2 linked regions of the Oryctolagus cuniculus genome follow. The protein of the gene in region 1 purifies or fractionates together with the protein of each later gene. This does not show direct contact. Links are inferred from orthologs where the notes say so. Each region holds a gene or a part of one and is shown on either strand. Other genes may lie near its edges. The genes, in order: ABCA1 and NR1H2.

The links.
Region 2: the proteins of ABCA1 (region 1) and NR1H2 purify together in Homo sapiens (affinity purification with western blotting; 3 studies listed by BioGRID and IntAct, with this or other methods). This does not show direct contact. The link is inferred for Oryctolagus cuniculus from reciprocal best matches to the Homo sapiens genes ABCA1 and NR1H2.

Annotation. Positions count from the first base shown.
Region 1 is NC_091432.1:208,664,892-208,668,689, reverse strand, and holds part of ABCA1 (phospholipid-transporting ATPase ABCA1), read left to right. Parts: intron 1-908; coding exon 909-1,080; intron 1,081-2,072; coding exon 2,073-2,204; intron 2,205-3,073; coding exon 3,074-3,216; intron 3,217-3,433; coding exon 3,434-3,571; intron 3,572-3,798. UniProt on the Homo sapiens protein: Catalyzes the translocation of specific phospholipids from the cytoplasmic to the extracellular/lumenal leaflet of membrane coupled to the hydrolysis of ATP.
Region 2 is NC_091449.1:7,476,643-7,481,078, reverse strand, and holds the start of NR1H2 (oxysterols receptor LXR-beta), read left to right. Parts: upstream 1-1,376; 5' UTR 1,377-1,531; intron 1,532-1,634; 5' UTR 1,635-1,769; intron 1,770-2,160; 5' UTR 2,161-2,179; coding exon 2,180-2,222; intron 2,223-2,309; coding exon 2,310-2,441; intron 2,442-2,569; coding exon 2,570-2,860; intron 2,861-3,342; coding exon 3,343-3,605; intron 3,606-3,711; coding exon 3,712-3,891; intron 3,892-4,436. UniProt on the Homo sapiens protein: Nuclear receptor that exhibits a ligand-dependent transcriptional activation activity. Binds preferentially to double-stranded oligonucleotide direct repeats having the consensus half-site sequence 5'-AGGTCA-3' and 4-nt spacing (DR-4).

The sequences.
Region 1 (3,798 bases):
CGGTTGGCACCAAGTCACTGCCCCAGAATGCTAAGTCTCTCCTGGCTCCTGACTGTGGGTGGAGAAGCAATGGCTCTGCCTACTGGGCTTTTTTGTTAAGCTCTTTCTGCCTACTGTGGCTTCCTTCCATTGTTAATAGGCCCTTCTTCTGCTGATTTCCTCTGTGTCCTTCCTTCATTTGGAAGCGATATCTTAGTGAGCTCACTTGCCCCCTGTTCCAGCTCCTTTTTAGTCTCCTGGATCTGCTCACAGTTGCTGGAGCATGTGTTTCTGTGCATTTAGTCTGTGCAGTTTTATCACAGGTGTTGATTCATGTAATCAGTAGCTCAATCAAGATTCAGGCCTATTGCAGCATCCAAAGTTCACTCATGCTACTGTTTCATAGCCAGAGGCATTTCCCTTCTCCCAGTCTCTGACATCGGATAACCACTATTTTTTTTCTCCATTTCTATAATTTTATTATTTCTAGAATGTTCCGTAAAAGGAACCATATAGTAGGTAGCCTGTTGATTTTTTTTTAACTTAGTATAATTTCCATGTGATTCATCCAAGTTGTGGTGTGTATCACCAGTTCATTCCTTTCATTGCAAAGTAGTATTCCCTGGTGTGGGTGTTCCAGTTTGTGGCATTTTTAGATGTGTTTTTAAGCATCTATTATCATCCTATATTTTTTCAAGTCTTCCTTCCTCTCCAAAAGTCTACAGTGCAGACACTTTTATTATTGTGTTCCAGTCACCAATATCTCTGCCCAAATTGGTCCTCACACGTGTGTATAGCCTCTTGCCTGCCGGTGAGTTCAGAGTGGTCTTGAAGAGAAAACAGTACTGTAGGTAGAAGCACAGCGCCCAGGTCTTCACACCCCACTCAGTCAGTAGTCTCTGTGGGTTCACCCTTCTCTCTTCTCACAGTTTGCATGGAAGAGGAGCCCACCCACTTGAAGCTGGGCGTGTCCATCCAGAACCTGGTGAAGGTTTACCGAGATGGCATGAAAGTGGCTGTTGATGGCTTGGCATTGAATTTTTATGAGGGCCAGATCACCTCCTTCCTGGGTCACAATGGAGCGGGGAAGACCACCACCATGTAAGAAGAGGGGTGACTCACAGAATCACAGTGTGGTTTCCACCTAAGGAAATTGTCTGGGTCACTGGGGCAAGGGCAAAACACAGGAGATGATGGATGTAAAATCATTATCTAACCAGGAGGCTGCACTCAGAGTGCAAGATTTTACTAGATGTCAATCGTCAGCCCGAATCAGGGGGATCCTTTGTATGACTTTCCCATGTAGTTCTTGGTATTCTGTAGTGTTCTAGGACTCTGGGGCCATGACTGCTCTGAGGAAGGGTCTCCTTTTGAGCTGGTTTGGTCAGAACTGTAAAGTGAGAATCTGGAAAGAAAGGTTGGATATGTTAGAGGGGGGTGGCAATTTCCAGAAAGTGTCTAAGCATATGTGAGAAGCATCTGGACAGCTGGCTTTGGTTGCCATGCCTGGGATCTACAAGGATCTTACCATGACAGCCTTGGATGGGACAAAAGCCATAAAGCCCCAGAGGTAGCCTCAGTGGTTTTCAGTGTGTTTCCTCAACCCTTCCAGAGGTTGTGTCTTTAGATAGGATACTCTTTTCCTGTTTTTCTTTTATCTTTTTGTTTAATATAAATCAAAATATTACGAACATGGTAGAACAATTTTAAAAGGCATTCCAGAATCTTACCATCTAACACAAACTTTGTTTTTTTCTTTGAATAACTTGTTCTGGTTTGTCAATTTTTTGTGGGCATGATGTTAAATATATAAGACATTTTTTAAAGTATACTTTCCAGTGCAGATTGGATACTTTGTTTTAAAAATGCTTATGCCAAAATTGCCATTCCTGACACATAGGCCTGATTCTAGTTATTCCTTAACATCGAGCAATTTTTTGCCTTGTTGGGGGAGGGGGTCTGTTGGGGTCTGTTAGATAGGAATTAGGGGGTGGGAGGGTTGGTGCCCTCTGTTCTCTCTGCCTGGCTATGCAGCATCTAGAGGAGAGGGTGGGTCAGCCCTGACTCCTATACTGTTTGGTTTCTAACCTCAGGTCCATCCTGACTGGGTTGTTCCCTCCCACCTCGGGCACCGCCTACATCCTGGGGAAGGACATTCGCTCGGAGATGAGCACCATCCGGCAGAACCTGGGAGTCTGTCCCCAGCACAATGTGCTGTTTGACATGTGAGTACCAGGCCCTTTCTGGATGTGTGTGTCATGAAGTCGTGGGTGCAAGGGACTTAAGCATTTCTCCTTCTTTGGGGATGGCAGGTCTTGCCTCCCTAGACATGTGAGGCCTAGTTGTCCCTTGATTTTAGGAAAAGTGGAGTGAGTTTCTGGATGATAGATACTGCACAAGTCCAGCCAGCAGATGGGGGCTTGGAAGCAGTACTCTCCATCATTGGCATTCTGAAGGGTCCCTTGGCCCACATCTTCCCCAATGGCCTCAGGGCACCTTCTTACAGTGGCCCTGTGTTTCTTGCTCAAGACATTTGTTCCCACTCAGATTGTCTCATTAGGAAGTAGGGCCTCCAGGAAGCCCCAATATTAAAGTAGAGGAAGACCTGTGCTCTGACCTTGGGTGAGTCCTTTCCTCCTTGTGAGCCTCAGCTTCTGCTGACCAGATTTGAGCATCGTGGGCTCACAAGAGTCCCTGAGGGCCTCCCTTCTTTGAGTCTCCGTTTCCTTGAGGCCAGGAGGGCCAGTCCACGTTAATTCCAGGCCAACATCTTGGTTGACTTGGGTTACAGGAAAGCTCTTTGAGGACCACACATTGGGAGTCTGAAATTTAACTTTGGAATTGTCCGGTAGCTGGGGCAAGGCTCGCTGGGGACCAGTTGGAAGGGATCTGTCCCATTCCTGAGCAGCTCAGGTTTGTTGCTGTGGTTCTGCCTTGAAGTCTAAAGATCACTTTTCAGTGATTGGTAAAATATTTTTTAAAAGGTGGAGGGGGAGAAAAAAAAACGTAGCCATTCTCTTTTGCTCTGGTCAGGAGACACTATATTCTGGTGCATCCTGCAGGGCCCAGAGCTGACCTGCCCCTCTATCCCCAGGCTGACTGTGGAAGAGCATATCTGGTTCTACGCCCGCCTCAAAGGGCTCTCCGAGAAGCACGTGAAAGCAGAGATGGAGCAGATGGCCCTGGATGTTGGTTTGCCACCCAGCAAGCTGAAGAGCAAAACAAGTCAGTTGTCAGGTAAGCCTGCAGCTACTTTCTCCTTTCTCCCTCCCCTCTGCCTCCAAGTGGGCGCACACACAGGAGGCACCGCTCTCCCAGCGTCCTGGGCTGGGTGAGTGGGGAATAGAAACTGGTCCCTGGCTATGTCCCCAGGTGGGTGCTTCCACCTGTCTCTCATCACCTCCACTTCACTCACCATCTGGGGCTGGTCCTGGAGCCTGTCTATTTCTTACAGGTGGAATGCAGAGAAAACTCTCTGTGGCATTGGCCTTTGTCGGGGGATCCAAGGTTGTCATTCTGGACGAGCCCACAGCTGGTGTGGACCCTTATTCCCGCAGGGGAATATGGGAACTGTTGCTGAAATACCGACAAGGTAACTGTCCTGCATGTCTTCCAAGTCACAGACTGGGCAGGGTTGAGGTGGTTGACAACTACGGCTGGATCTCAGGGCTCTTCTTGCTAGGACAACAGCATTGCTTCTCAAGGAAGATGAGAATCTCTTTTCCTGCAAGCACATGGCATGGAGGTGGGAGGCCTGCTTATGCTTCATTACTTAGGGGCCTGCAAGAAGAAGAGAAATGGGGATGGAGGACATTTCCT
Region 2 (4,436 bases), on another chromosome or scaffold:
CCATTCACCAAACCCTACTCGTGCCGCCCGTTTCCCCATTGGAATGCAACTCTCACAGGGGGAGGGGTCTAGGTCCAGGGGGAGGGGTCTTGGTCCAGTTGAGTTCATTGCTACCCGGGTCCTCAGCACCTGGGAGAGCACCTGCCACACAGCAGACCCTCGCCAATGTCGGCTCGGAGCCTCCTTCGGCACAGCCTGCCCTGGGCAGGATCGACGACCCTCCCCGCCGCCCCCCACCCCGACTCGCTCGGGCCCAGGTCGCGTCGCCCCGCGCCCCGCACCCAGGGGTCATTTCTCGGAGGCCTTGTCTGCAAAACCGCAGGCGGCCGCACGGTGGCGGTGTGCACCCGCGTTCCCGCCACGGGTCCCGCCATGCCGGGCGCCGAGGCCGCGGGCAGCTCCCCGACCGGTGCCGCGGGAGAACAAGGGCTGGCTCCCCGCCTGCCCCTGCCCGCGCTCGCCGAGACAAGGCCTCCGGCACACGGCGGATTGGGACCAGATTGAGGCTCCACACACAGCCTCCTACAAGCCCCTGGTACTTTTGCTCCCTTTCCATTGGCTGGACCCCGTCACGTGACCAGCAGGCCGCGTGGGCCGCTGGGGAATGTAGTTCGGCTGTGTGTCGGGCCTCGTGTGTGAACCTCGGTCAGCGTCCATCGCGCGTGGCCCACGAGGCCTGCTGCGAGGTCCGATGGCAGAGCCGGCGCGGCCCGAAGGCTCAGGGATGCCGGGCAGCATCTCCCCGAGCCGCCACGCCCCGGCTGAGGAGCCACGGCCCCCCAGCCCCAGGCTTTCGGAAACGCCTGGTTCGCCCGCACAGCCCGGGCAGAGGAGACGCAGGGGCTCCCCTGCGAGCCGGCCTGGCTCAGGGCAGAGCACCGAGCTCGTCCGCAGCCGGAATCCGGGCGCCGAGCGCCCAGCCCGCCCCGTCCACGCGCCCCGCGGGGAACGTGCCACAGCCAACACTTTACTTTGACCCTTGTGGTCTGGAGAGCCTGGACTTTTACAAACGCTTCCAGCAGCAAAGTTAGGGTTTGCCGCATACGTTTTCCCGGCCCAAGTTCGTATTTCAGCTCATTGAAAACCCCGAAGCTGCCAGCCCACAAACTCCGCAAACGTGCACTGCGTGTTTTCACCAGTCACGGGGAGGGACGCTGCCGCTGCTGGGGGTGTCTGCGGACCCGGCTCTCCGGCCGCAGGACCAAGGATGGGCGCGATAGGCCAACCGCGCGGTCCGGGGCCGGCCACGCCACGCCGGACCGCGGTCCCCCACAACTCCCCGGAACTCTTCTTCCGCACCCCCCAGCGGAGCCACACGGCGGCGCACACTTCCGGCGAGCGCACCACTTCCGTGCGGGGCGGCCGACTCGGCCGGCCCCCAGCGGACCGGAAGTCCGTCACCCTTCGCGCCCCACCCCTTCCGGAAGTGACGCATGGCGGGGTTGCCGGAAGAAGTGGCGAAGTTACTTTTGAGGGGACTCTGGTGGCGGCGGCGTGTCAGGGGCTACGGCCCCGGAGGAAGAGGAGCCGAGTAAGGGGGCGGAGACAGGAGCACTGGGAGTGGGGAGACGCAGGAGGAGCCCCCAGCAGCTCCGACGAACCCCCTTCTCTCTTCCCTCCGCTCCCCTCCGTAGCTTGCGCATCCCCCGGCTGTTTCCAGGGCAACGGGAGGAGACCCCCCCACGCGAGAGGCCGCCCACAAGTCCCCGCGCGCAGCCATGAGCCCCGCCCCCCACTGGTGCTCGGAGAGGGGCGGGACCTGGAGCGAGGTGATGGGGCGGGGCTTGCGGGAGGGGCGGGGGCGGGGCTAGGTGTTGTGGTGGGCGGGGCCTGAGAAAAATCAGAATGAGAGACGGAGTTGGGTTGGGGGGAGGTGTGCTAAGAGCAGGTGGGCTGTGACTGACGGGCAGAGTGAGCCCCAAGGAGAATGGACAGTGATGGGCGAGCAGGTGGGTGGGGCCTGGGGCGGGGCCTGTAAAGGGGGCGGGACTTAAGGCCACACTGCAAGTTGGAGCATGGGTGGGAAGCGTCTGGCGGCCGGCTGGGGCTGGGGTCCCTGTGCAGTAGTCGGAGCCTGGGGGAGCTGGAATAAAGGGGCCCCCTCATCAGAACCCGCAGCTGGCCTGACCCAGTCCTGCGTTGCCCCCCTGTGTTGTGCAGGCTGCTCCGTGACCCCACCATGTCCTCCCCCACCACGACCTCCTTGGACACTGCCCCGCCTGGTGAGTGGCCCTGTGCCTCGCCCAGCCCCGGTCGGAGCAGCCGCACGGCCGGAGGAGCTCACCGCGCCGCGTCTCCCCGTCCCCCAGGAGATGGCCCCGCGCAGCCCGGCACCTCCTCCCCCTCGCCCGCCGTGAAGGAAGAGGGTCCCGAGCCCTGGCCCGAGGCCGCGGACCCTGCTGTGCCAGGCAGCGATGAGGCCGGCTCAGCCTGCGTCGTGGGTGAGACGGGGCCCGGGACGGCTGTGGGCAGCAGGGCAGAGGGAGGCCCTGCCTCGCTTCTTTGGGGCGCACGCGCCGCCCGCTCCTTGCGGCCCCTCACCGCCTTGTCCGCCCGCCCGCCCGCCCAGTCGCCGTGGAGCCGGAGGAGGAGCCGGAGCGCAAGCGGAAGAAGGGCCCGGCGCCGAAGATGCTGGGCCACGAGCTGTGCCGCGTGTGCGGGGACAAGGCCTCGGGCTTCCACTACAACGTGCTCAGCTGCGAGGGCTGCAAGGGCTTCTTCCGGCGCAGCGTGGTCCACGGCGGCGCCGGCCGCTACGCCTGCCGCGGCGGCGGCGCCTGCCAGATGGACGCCTTCATGCGGCGCAAGTGCCAGCTGTGCCGGCTGCGCAAATGCAAGGAGGCCGGGATGCGGGAGCAGTGTGAGTGCGGGTGGGGAGGGTCGGCCAAGCCCCGCCCCGCCCCGCCCACGCCCCCTCGGTCACGCCCCTGCCCCGTCCACATCCCCCGGCCTTCGCTAGTGCGAGGCACCGGGATGCGGGAGCAGTGTGCAGGGTGGGGAGGGCTCGGCCCGACCAGGCCAAGGCCTGGCCACCTCCCCAGACCGGCCACACCCCAACCGCCCTGGCCACGCCCCGATCCCCGGTCGGCCCCGGCCCTCTCATGCCCTGTCCCCGCCTCCGACAGGCCACGCCCCGCTGGCCACGCCCCCAACCCTTGCAAATTCAAGGAGGCCAGGATGCTGGAGTAGTGTGGGGGCGGGGCGCTACCCCATCCCCAACTGTGCCGGCCTTGGCCTTACCCCGAACCTGGCCACACCCCGACCCGCCCAGCCGGTCATCCCCGCCCGGCCACGCCCCCGCCCGGCCACGCCCCCGCCGGCTGAGCGCTGGCTCCGTTCCAGGCGTCCTCTCTGAGGAGCAGATCCGGAAGAAGAAGATTCGGAGGCAGCAGCAGCAGCAGCCGGTGCCTGGGGAGCCGGGGGGCAGCAGCGGCTCGGCCGGCGCGCCGGGGGCGTCCCCCGGGGGTGCGGAAGCCAGCGGCCAGGGCTGCGGCGAAGGCGAGGGCGTCCAGCTCACAGCGGCCCAGGAGCTGATGATCCAGCAGTTGGTGGCCGCCCAGCTGCAGTGCAACAAGCGCTCCTTCTCTGACCAGCCCAAAGTCACGGTACTGCCCGCCCAGCCTCGGGCGGCCGGGCCGGGAGGCGGAGGCCGCGGGCTTGGCCTCGGGGTCAGCGCCGGGGTCCTGGCGTGACCGGTCTCCCGTGTCGCAGCCCTGGCCCCTGGGCGCGGACCCCCAGTCCCGCGACGCCCGGCAGCAGCGCTTCGCCCACTTCACGGAGCTGGCCATCATCTCGGTGCAGGAGATCGTGGACTTCGCCAAGCAGGTGCCCGGCTTCCTGCAGCTGGGCCGCGAGGACCAGATCGCGCTCCTGAAGGCGTCCACCATCGAGGTAACAGCCAGTGCCAGGCCCGAGCCCCGGGCAGCGCCGCACAGGGGCCGGGAGTCCGGGGCAGCACCCGCACAGGGCCCGGGAGCCCGGGGCAGCGCCCGCGCAGGGCCCGGGAGCCCGGGGCAGCACCCGCAGAGGGGCCGGGAGCCCGGGGCAGCACCCGCAGAGGGGCTGGGAGTCCGGGACAGCACCCGCACAGGGCCCGGGAGCCCGGGGCAGCGCCGCACAGGAGCCGGGAGTCCAGGGCAGCACCCGCACAGGGGCTGGGAGTCCAGGGTAGCACCCACACAGGGACCGGGAGCCCTGGGGCTGCGCCCGCACAGGAGCCGGGAGTCCAGGGCAGCACCCGCACAGGGGCTGGGAGTCCAGGGTAGCACCCACACAGGGACCGGGAGCCCTGGGGCTGCGCCCGCACAGGGGCCGGGAGTCCAGGGCAGCACCCGCACAGGGGCCGGGAGCCGAGTGAGCAGAGAGTCCCAGGCCCTCCTCGAGCCCAGGAGAGGAGGCAGGGTGAGAGGGAGGCATGCGGCCCGGGCTGGAGGGGC